Daphnia pulex: one gene and its partner. The protein of the gene in region 2 purifies or fractionates together with the protein of the main gene of each other region. This does not show direct contact. Links are inferred from orthologs where the notes say so. Each region holds a gene or a part of one and is shown on either strand. Other genes may lie near its edges.

What was found. The genes of interacting proteins can lie anywhere in the genome.
Region 1: the proteins of transformation/transcription domain-associated protein-like (region 2) and protein max-like purify together in Homo sapiens (affinity purification with mass spectrometry; 6 studies listed by BioGRID and IntAct, with this or other methods). This does not show direct contact. The link is inferred for Daphnia pulex from reciprocal best matches to the Homo sapiens genes TRRAP and MAX.

What each region holds. Positions count from the first base shown.
Region 1 is NC_060026.1:15,126,670-15,131,816, reverse strand, and holds protein max-like, read left to right. Parts: upstream 1-2,532; 5' UTR 2,533-2,706; intron 2,707-2,794; 5' UTR 2,795-2,844; coding exon 2,845-2,907; intron 2,908-2,994; coding exon 2,995-3,045; intron 3,046-3,116; coding exon 3,117-3,224; intron 3,225-3,268; coding exon 3,269-3,410; intron 3,411-3,467; coding exon 3,468-3,619; 3' UTR 3,620-3,857; downstream 3,858-5,147. Other genes in the region: uncharacterized protein LOC124205463, read left to right, coding at 1-21; uncharacterized protein LOC124205464, read right to left, coding at 637-903, 967-1,317; lysosomal-trafficking regulator-like, read right to left, coding at 4,050-4,251, 4,313-4,562, 4,621-5,147. UniProt on the Homo sapiens protein: Transcription regulator. Forms a sequence-specific DNA-binding protein complex with MYC or MAD which recognizes the core sequence 5'-CAC[GA]TG-3'. The MYC:MAX complex is a transcriptional activator, whereas the MAD:MAX complex is a repressor.
Region 2 is NC_060018.1:6,522,140-6,527,721, forward strand, and holds part of transformation/transcription domain-associated protein-like, read right to left. Parts: coding exon 4,594-5,582; intron 4,513-4,593; coding exon 787-4,512; intron 721-786; coding exon 382-720; intron 314-381; coding exon 1-313. UniProt on the Homo sapiens protein: Adapter protein, which is found in various multiprotein chromatin complexes with histone acetyltransferase activity (HAT), which gives a specific tag for epigenetic transcription activation.

The sequences.
Region 1 (5,147 bases), on a different chromosome or scaffold from region 2:
ACCGGCTGGATTATTTGCTAAATTCCATTATTGGATATGATAAACCTATTATGTTTTTACTTTAAACCTTTTTGTCTCCAACTTTTAATTTCTGTGGTATTTTTAATTCGGTTTATTATTTGGTGTTTAGTTTTTTTAGTTTTTAGACTTTGGTCAATTTAAATATACACATCAGTACGTACAGCAGCAACTAACAATTACGTAGCAAATTTATAAAAACAATTATCATGGGAAAAGTCCAGTATTACAGGTAATCATACACAACATTAAGTTTCCCATCTTTTCATGTGTTAATGATTGCCGGAAAGCCAAAATGAGAATAACAAACTTATAATAGTAAACATCTCGAAATGGGTTTATTTGTGCAACGAGAAACGGAAATGACATAATAAACATAAAAATGAAATGATTTCATCCTTTTAAAAAGACGCCACCAAGTATATGCACCCTCACAAATAGTGTACTGTATAATATATATACACTTAAGGACAACCAGATGCTGAAAGACCTTCCAGAAAAACATGTAACATGCACGTTGAGTAAGTTTTTCCCGTGTTAGTTCCACCTATATAAGTCACAATACTGCTAATAGTCTTTACTCATACCTTTCATTCAAGCGCGTTATGATTGGAAATATTAGTTTAATTCGACATCTTCGTCGTTATTAACATTCGAAGGTGTTGCCTGATTGGTTTTAGCTTGCGCCGGCAACTGTTGAGGGCTATGGCCGCAGGCAATCATAGCGTCTTCATAAGACGGAGGTGGCGAATCGTCTGTTTCACCCAATTTGGGCGAAGAAGAATGGACATTACCACTGCCCAGCACATCTCCTTCAATGTGATACAATCCATTGGCTTCCCTCCAAGTCTCCCTGCTCCTCCGGCGAGCCGTTCGCTGTTGATTCTGTAAAAATGGCGAATATTTCATAATGAAATTCCCCAAGAAATAGTGTAATAACTGGTTTACCTTTCTACAACACCGTAAACGACTGATGACGAGGAAAAGTAAAAGATAAAAGACGGCCAGGATTAAAACACCTCCTAATATGATGACGTGATAGGGAATCCTGGCGGATGGCCCGTGTAGTACGGGGTAATTGGCCGTGTCGTACGTGACATATTCCGGCGTGGTGGTGCTGAGTGCCTGCGTCAAACGCGGTCTCGGCCGCAAAAGTCGTTTGCTCCATTCTTTACTGAGCTTTCCTGCATCGGGCCCGTAAAACCAGTTGATTACTTCTTTGATAACCTGAGAGTGAGTCGGCTTTTTGTTATGGGAATTCTCCAACAAACCAGCACTGTAATCCTCTTCAGCAGACATTTCTTCAATTTCTGTTCCGAACGGTGTAAGATAAAGGAAATTTTGTTTTAAATACAAGTCTGTAATTGAATGAAATGTTCATACCAAAATGACGCGGTTCAATCCACTTTTGAATTCCTGTTATCCGTGAACAAAAAGAAGTTGATGGAAAGGTTAAAACAGCACATCCAACTTGCACGACGCCAACTCAACACTAAACAAGGAATGGCATCAAATGTGAAGACAACGCGACTGACCATCAAGGCTTTGCTGCTGCTGCTGGTTATACACGATTCTTCTAGTTTTTCCAATGAATATCATCTCATGGACATCTCAAGTCTCATCCGACACACCCCATTCGCAACCTTCAAACTTTCCGGTTTTTTTTTCCCATTTGGAAGAAGGTACGACGTGAGGAGGAATCGCACTATAACGAGTATCCCATTTTATAAATTTTTTCCTACAATGACCTTAACACAAGAGATTCTGGTTCTCCTTTTGGCGCAACAATCGCCTCGGGATTCTAATCATGGAATAAGATATACGTGGTCTAGCGCTCAAAGGTTTTTTGGGTCTGAATTTTTTCCTATTCATATGGACTCTCTTCTCCGTGATGGGTGTACACTCGGCATGCACGTGTGTGACGACAACCTTCAGTCAAGAGAAGCCAAGACAATCAAATATAAGTTATAAGGTTTTAGTTGTTTTAGCGTGTTAGGTTGAATATTGGGCATCATTTATCATTTTGGGATTTTTTAAAAAACGCTAATGTAATGTGGAGGTCACTATACTTCTTTGGGCGTGTTATTGGCGAGACATTTTAAAACTATGTTTGCCCGCACCCAAAATCAGCGTATCGCAGTTAGTGGAATGTGGAAACAGTCAAGTGGATGACCTCCTCGGTTCACTACTCGCTCGACATTGAAGCGTTTCTCGCGTGTGGTTCTTCTAACGCAGGTATATTCTTGCGCACCTTTTATATGTGACCACACCTTGATTGGAGAAGAGATTTTGCATTCCATAATTTTCAACTTTGTCATCAAACATGTGTTTGAAGCACAATAGTTTATTATTTGCCGCATTTACTCTGAGTGATCCTCCGCCAATCAAATAAAAATGTCAGAATCCGTCAAATTTTTATAATAAGGACTAAGGAGTTTTTTGTTTTAATTTTGTAAAGAATTATAAATATCCTTGTCGTAATGTCGTCCTTGTTGCCGGGCGAAATTAGCAAGTTGGCAACAATTTTGCTGTTGGAATGAATTGCGCTCATTTGGCAACATCGCAAGTGCACCTCAACAACTCGATGCGCTGTTCACTTGCTGTTTAGTCTCGTGAATACAACACTTTGCCCACACTCGTGACGTGTTTACACAAAGAGAAATCGACTATCAGGCTTTAAGCAAATTGGTATAGCAGTTTCTTATCTCGATCACCTTGAACGTAACTATTGCGTTGGAAGTGTTTTGGCCCTAATCTGCAAATTTTGATCCCTTAGCTTGAAGTCTTCTTGTTGGTAACCCTAGTTTGTCTGGCTTGATTACGACCATGTCCTATGCCGTTTCCCCATCGATGAGCGATGATGAACGAGATATAGATATCGAAAGTGATGTAAGTTGTTGAACAAGATGGTTTAGCTGCATTGACCTCTTTTAAAACATTCACTTACTAAAACTTACTTTCTATCATCTGCTGTAGGAGGAGGATGGAGGTGGCTATTCACGAGGCTCTGGACAGTATTCTCAGCAAGTAAGATATTATTTGTGTGTTTTACCTGGCACAGAGCTCTTTATCAACACTTTGTGTGCTTGGATGAACAGGTTGACAAAAGAGCACACCATAATGCCTTGGAACGGAAAAGGAGAGATCACATCAAGGATAGCTTCAGTGGACTTCGAGATTCAGTTCCCTCGTTACAGGGAGAAAAAGTAAAACATAAGTGTCGAGCAAATCTCACTTAATAAAATTGTAGGATGGCTCTCGGTTTCAGGCGAGCCGTGCTCAAATACTGAAGAAGGCAGCTGATTATATACAATTCATGAGACGGAAAAATGCAGCCCACCAGCAGGATATTGATGATCTCAAAAGGCAAAATGAAGTCCTTCAAACTCAAAGTATGTTTACTTTTTTTGTTTTGCATCAGTACAACATTTAACCTTTTCTTTGTTAAGTTCGCTCCCTGGAGAAAGCCAAAATGCTTAATGTAGGTGACATGCATACCCAAGCTGAGGCTGGAAAGTATCAGGAAGATTCTGAAGGTTCTGATAGGGAAAACAGTACCAAAGGGAAACGGTCCAACAAAAAGATGAAAACATCTGTCTAGCTAAATTATTGAGATCTGCTTCATATTGACTGTTTGTGTGTCTCTGTACCTTCTGCGACCTAGGAAATCGCAATTTTGTGTCATGAGTCCTGATTCATTCGACTCTCTTTTCGTACTTTTCCACCTCACCCTCTCCCTGCTCTGATTCATTCGCTGTGCAAATAAGCTGAGAGTGATTTGGATACATCCTTGTTATGTGCTTAGTTCGAGCCAATAAAGACAAAATTTCGTTTAAAAATGAAGTTTCATCACTTTCTTGCGAATAGATTACCGTAATTATATTCAGATTTGCATGTGTAACATTATAAAGCTAAATTTATAAAAATTTTCAAGAGATTCTATCCTTTTTTGAATTTCCTGTGATTAAAATCATGAAAATCTCCTCTTTAATCGCGTTTACATATCATATCTACGGGTTTGAAAAGTATCATCATTGCAAAGTTAAATTGATAAAGGGTGGGAAGCGAGGCGATTTTTTGTGGTTATGTGGACTATCCCAAGCTAGCAGAGAACCATCGTTTCTAGCGGCTAGTAAATGCTGTGAAGTGCTCGAATATGTCAAACTGACTATCGACAAGGAGGAGTCAGTGATGATATCTCGTACGACATTTAGGGTCCAAGTATCCCACAATCTGTAGTGAGAAAACAATTAACAAGTAGGAACAAAAACAAACTTATTAGTTGATGAATTACCTAATGCGACCATTGGATAGCCCGGCAGCTACCACATTGATAGAAATTCCCTCGGGAGCAGATGAGAAACACAACGAAGTAATGAGAGGATTCGTCGTTGTCATGCCGATCAAATGCCCATTGACTGACCTCAATTCCAGCCGAGACTGCTGATCGTCCAGATTGACAGCGCATGCAATATCAGCTGTATTACGACTGACGGCCAATTGAGAAACTGGTAGTATTATATCTTTCCGGTCATTTGATAGACCTATAGGCAATTTAAAAAAATTTTAATGTTGGGTCGATGGATGTTGAAGTTGAATTACCTGGAGTGAGCTGACGGATAAAATTCAAAGAATGAAGATCCCAGAGGATAATTGATCCATCACTTCCACTGGAGACAGCGAGGCTGAACGACGAACACAAGACGAGCTGTTGAAGGGGTCCAACGTGACCAGAGAGAACTGTCGGCGGTCCAGTCAACTCAAAATGAGGTTTCAGTGGGTCAAACAGAAAAGGATAGACCCGCATGATTCCAGATCGATAGGCAACCCAGATCCTGTTGTAATCCGGTAAAGTTGAGCATAAAATCACGCTATCGTGCGCTTCCGATTGAAAGAGAGGTTTCACAGGTTCATCCTTCCGGATTTTGATTCTTACAATTCCGTCCGATTGACCCCAAGAGATCAATGCCACCCCTAGAATCCCTGTCGGTCGGCCAAGGAACGAATCCTTGTCGTACGAATGGGACAGAATGGCGGTGGTGAAAGGGCCCAGAGCGTAAGTATCTCCAGTTCGCAACGGGAGGAAGGAATGGACTGGAATAGCAAAAGATTCTTTATGTTTCAATACA
Region 2 (5,582 bases):
GATCATTAGTAGCAGGTATTAAATGTTCTCGAGTCATTCTTTGCAAAGCTCTCATGAAAGACGTTATCAGCCGATCGATGTAGCAAGGGTTGTTGGTGCACGCAGCTTTAAGCAGCATCAAGGTTCCAAGTAGAGACGTTGACGGTGCGGTAGTGTTTCTCTCGTATGCCCCTAATCCTTCATAAATGGCTTTCGTAACGGCAGCGTATAAACCTTCAAGCTCTTCATGCTTCGAGGCCACATTTGAGTTGGTTGGCTCAGTTGGAAACACTGACATAAGACGAGAAAGAAGTCCATGAAGGCATCGAATAACCTAAAGAAACAAAATATCCCAAAATATTAGAAAATTGTTACAAGACATATTGGGTAAGATTTAATTACTTTGGGATTCGTGCAATTCATGAGTGAAGAAAGCCCGCGTTGAAGTGGTTTGAAGCCTGCCAGGATTTGTTCCTTCCGCAAAATACTTAACAGGAATGTTAGTAAATCGAGAGCTGTACAAATATTGGTGAAATTTGGAGCAGAAGCGGCTGCTGCTGCCGATGCGGCCGCAGTAGCGGCTGCGGGAGAATCGGCAGTCTGAAACAGTCGATCGAACCAAGCTAGTTTCAGTTCACAATTTGGCCAAACATCGGGTTTTAAAGCCATCTTCAGAAGAGCCACACATCGTTTAGATAACTGCTCGCCCGAACTGTTGGCGGTCGAGGTTGCATCGTTCACCTGATAAGAGATTGAAAAAACATTTTAGCACGTATACTAACTCAAAAACATACACACAAAGCATACCTGACACGCCAGTCTTAATAAAAAGTTTGCTATGGCATCACAGTGAGTTTTCTCAATCGGTTTACTGACTTCCAGCATTTTCCCTGAAGAAGAAGATGAGGCAAGTCGTGGCTTCTTTGCTTCTGGAAGTCCGTCATTTCCTGATCGTTTTACGGATCCAGATGGCATGGTCTCATCGCAGGACTCACCTCCTGAATCAGCTTCATCCTTCATACGCTGAAGCTCCCACTTGAGGACAACTTCGGCCAATTCGACGGCTAACTTCTTGTGCTCTAGCGTGGCCGTTGGAGTAAATCCCAGGCGCTGAATCGAGGTTATCATGTACTGCACCAGATGATGTCGAACTGGATAATACACTTTGTAATGACGCACCAGCAACTGGAGAATGTGCACCAGTTGAGCAATTGTGTGACCCTCTTCAACAATGATTTTCTTCGTCCAGTGGGTAAGCATGGTGTTTCCGTCCTCCATGCGAAGAGGCATAGCTGGCGTTAGAATCTCCAGTGCTTGTCGGACAACATTGCGAGCTTCAACAGCGTGGGCCTTCAACAAACTGTGGAAAACTTGCAGCACAATTCGTTTGTGAATGGCGAACTTTGCAATGATGTGACTCAACAGCAAATGGCCATGGTAACGGGTGGTTGGATCAACACAGTTCTTGCTCAACAGACACGGCCATGCAAAAGTCATAAGGCGACGTAGTTTGTTTCCCTGGCGTTTATTGGCGGCGTCGTGAATATGTTGCGAAGCTTGTTCAACCAACAAACAGCTCAGCTGAAGCAACAGGATTCGAACAGCGTCCGAAGTTCCAAAAGGATTGTCTGGATCAATCACTTTATTGATGAAAACACTGACAACGCTTTCACTGTTATCTTGGTCGGGGGTCGGTGGCGTACCAATGAGAATTTCTCCTTCTCCTCGCTCGAAACTGACGGCAAATCCTGGAATTATGATGTGTTGGAGAATTTTGGCTTTAAGTTCTTGTCCCAAGTTGGGATTTCGGAAAAGCTCGACAAACTTGAAAAAAGACGCTCGCTTCCAGTCAGCTCCATATGATTGGCCGACTGTTTTTTCCAAAAATTCTTTCAAAAAGTAGAAATCGGGAATCGTGCGATCGCACAACGCGCGCATCAAATGGAAGAGTAATTCAACTTCTTCAGGGTGCTGCTGAAAGTAATACAGTAAAATTTTGGCCAGTTGACGTTGCTCCTTTCGCTCAGCGATCGAAAGGCTCGTAGTTTTCTTTTCCTCGTAGCGACCCGAACACCAAGCTTTAGTCAGCACGGTTATTAAATCGGGCTGTTCAGATATCCACTGGTCGTCCTTGCAGATCATGATGCGCAAGATTCGAACCGTCACTTGCAGTGCATGAGGTTTGGGTGTTGTAGACTCCGAAGGCAGACCGCCAAGCACAAAATTAACCAATCGATTTGTGTTGGCCTTAATAGCGTCACGAAACGGTTTGCCTTCACTGTGGCGAACAAAATGTTCAAGGAACCGATTCCAATCAGCATCGGCAATGATATCTTCCCGTAAAAGTAAATCAATTGTTTCGGTAGGATATCGCAGAAGAAACTTGATTAAGGGCTCTCGGAAAGGACTGCCCGGTTCTAATCCTAAGGCACGTTCTGTTTGCAGCACTAATTTGCACAGGATTTCCAGGAATCTTGCCGAAGCAGCTGGAATCTGATGAAAAAGTCCAATGATGCCAATTGCAACCTTCACTTCATTGCTGCACAAGCTGCTGCTGCTGAAAGGTCCGTGGCTAGTCTGGGTAGCAACTGGACGATTTCCTCCGGTTTTAAACGCCACGATCACTACTTCGAGCCACTTGCGTAAATGCTGAAGAAGTTGTTCACAAAGCTTTTCGTTGAATACGTGGGGGAAAAGTTGAGTCGTGTGAGACAAGCGCAATATGACATTGGTAGACAAACTGCGATAATCGCCCAGCAAGAGTAACAACGGACGAACGGCGGTATGTACAGTCTCCATTTCGATCTGAGTGCCCACCAGTATCTTCTTCATACAGGAGAATGCCGTTTCTTGAAGTTCAGCATTGTTACAACTCAAAGCTTTGAAGATAACATTCAAGATCTTGTCTCGGCACTGAGTGATGTAGTGGCAAGCGGCTAACGCTTGCAAAGCGGATTTTCTCAATGGGGTCAAGTTGCTCACGGACTTGTAGCAAGGTAATTTCAGAAGAACAGTGTCGTCCACCTCGCACAGCGATAGTAGTTCGTGGAAGAAAACCTTATGCTCGACAATATTAAGATCAATGGTGAACAGTCGGGGTTTCAGCGTCGTGCAGAAGGTGTTACCGTCCATTAACCCAATTTGGGCGTTGACTGGCTGGTGTCTCAGTAAATGCTTTTTAGGCGGAATCATGTCAGCCAACACTTCCTTGTGTGGTTCCATGATGGCCGTTGGTGTTTGGTTTGTTATCCGTGCCAAAACCTGCAATAGGTGCATGGCTTGCTCACGTACAGTTGAATTTGGACTGGTCACTTGTCGTACGAGTTCATGGGTCACGTCATGCAGACTTTTCTTTTGCGCAGACAAAATTTCCGGAGAAGGAGACGATTCTGGCAGCGGAGTAGCGCATAAAAGAAGCATTTTCTCCAAATTGGCTTTGGCCATGTCAATAGCGCCGCTCGACACTTCTCCAGTGAGATCCATCATGACGAACAAGAGGGCCTTTAGGAATACATACTGATGTTCGAGAACCCACTTGAATGCCATTCGTTCAAACAGGAACTTGATGGCAATGCAACCGCCCAATTTTGCATACCAAGCTCTGTCGTAGCAAAGGCTGCACATTCGTTCTGCCAGATATTCCATTAGAGGAAGTTTACAAGCTCTCTCTTGGGAACCGAGCACAATAGATGCAGTGTCAAGCATCAACACTAGCGCCAAGTGTCCAGGTTTGCAAAGTTCTTTTTCTTCGTGGCCCATAATCGTAGCCAATGCATCAACCAACACGAGTGGATCCATGCCTAAAATCCGTTGGGCAGAGCGACCAGGAACAAGCATAGGAAACGGCCCCGCCTGCTGGACGACGGCAACAAGAGTGTAGTGTCGGACTAGAGATACCATAGTGGGCAGAACTGCTTGCCTCAACTCCTTTATGGCTGCTGCGACGAACATGGCAGTAACCGCCGTTTGATGTACATGTCTTGCTTGCTTGTCACTGCACTGGAACGAAGGACTTTGCACAGGATGAATATCTCCTTCCAAGAACGAATGATGAGATAATAAACGCTGCATTGTGAGACGATCGTCATCCAGGTGAAGTGAAGATAGCAGAAAGCAACGAACTACTTCCCAGCATTGCGTTCGGTAAAATGGCTCGGTACTACTTGATTTCAAAGCAGAAAACGCTGTCTCCATAATCTTCTCGACGGGCAGGGAAACGGGCTGTTTCAATTCTTGGAAGTGGATAACGATGCAAGGACCAGACTCTTTGTCCCAATAGTCTAGTCGTTGCGGTTCAACCATCATTTTACGATTACCACCTCCAAACTTACCAAGGACTCTAAAGGCAACGTGTGCGATCTGGTCGTTTGGATTCCTCAAAGTACGCCATAATGCTTGCATCAACTCAGCTCTTACTGGCTGAATATGCTCGTAAAGAAAATCTGGTTGAAGATTGTCGACACAGAGTTCTAAGGTTCTTAAACCTTGGCTCACCAAAGTCTGTGAACCATTCAGCGAAGACACAAGAGGATCCTATAAAAAAATTGGAAACAATAAATAACAAATTTAGAAAAGAAAGAATAATAATAAAAAAAAAACTCATAATTTTATTACCATAAGCATCGGGAGGTAAGGAAGGAGTGAAGATAACCGCACGGGAACAGTCAGGCAAAGTTCCACGAAGAGATCCTTCATATGCTGCTTGTGAAGTCCACTTTGAAGACTGTTTAGACTTTGAAGAAGATTCGGAAGCAATGGCAAAAATTCTTGATAAAGGAGGTCATGACTACCTCCGCCGATGGATCGAAAAAGTGCCCGCAGCAGGAGGAAATAGTTGTAGGGCTCTTTAGCACTCAAAGCTAATTCCATAGATTTGTTGACAATGTGCGGTAGATGTGGCTTTAACATTTGTTCATTCTCCGCAGCAAACAAAGAAACGCTACCAAACACAAGTTTGAACAACTTCAAATAAAGATTAGAACGCTCCATGTTCAATCCCATTTCTTCCATGTGATTCAGCAAATATTCGACGAGGATGGTGGCGAAAACAGCGGAGGTGGAAGGGTTTGCAAGAAATGAATTTGCAACTACCTGCAAAGCGCTATTGCGGTAAATGCGCTCTACCACGTAGTCAATTGTTGTGGCAAATACTTCCTTGAAAGTCTGCGGATTCATCATGGCGAAAACACCAGCAAAATGTTCCAATACTTCTTTTTCTTCTTTAGAGCGAATAGTTTGTGCTGGAACAGTCGGCCGAGCAGCGGAAGCCCCACCGACCGGAAAGCCAACGACGGTGCTATTAAGACTGCCAGAGGTCTCCGCTCCGACCGCACTCGGAATATTTAAGGCGTACACATCAAGTGCTTTCATCGCCCACTGCACCAAACGGATGAATATCACCGTTTCTTTAGGTTGCAAATTCTTGCCTGTAGTAGCAACACTAGTCGTAGTATCGAGTGGAGTTTTGCAGGCCGCACATCCCCAGGTGATGGTTTTCACACCGCACACAAGCGTTTTAACTAAGCTTCGACATTCAGTGATGCTGAAGACAGGTCCCGCAACTCGAACAGCAAACTTCATCGTTTTCTCTTTTTCATCTAGAA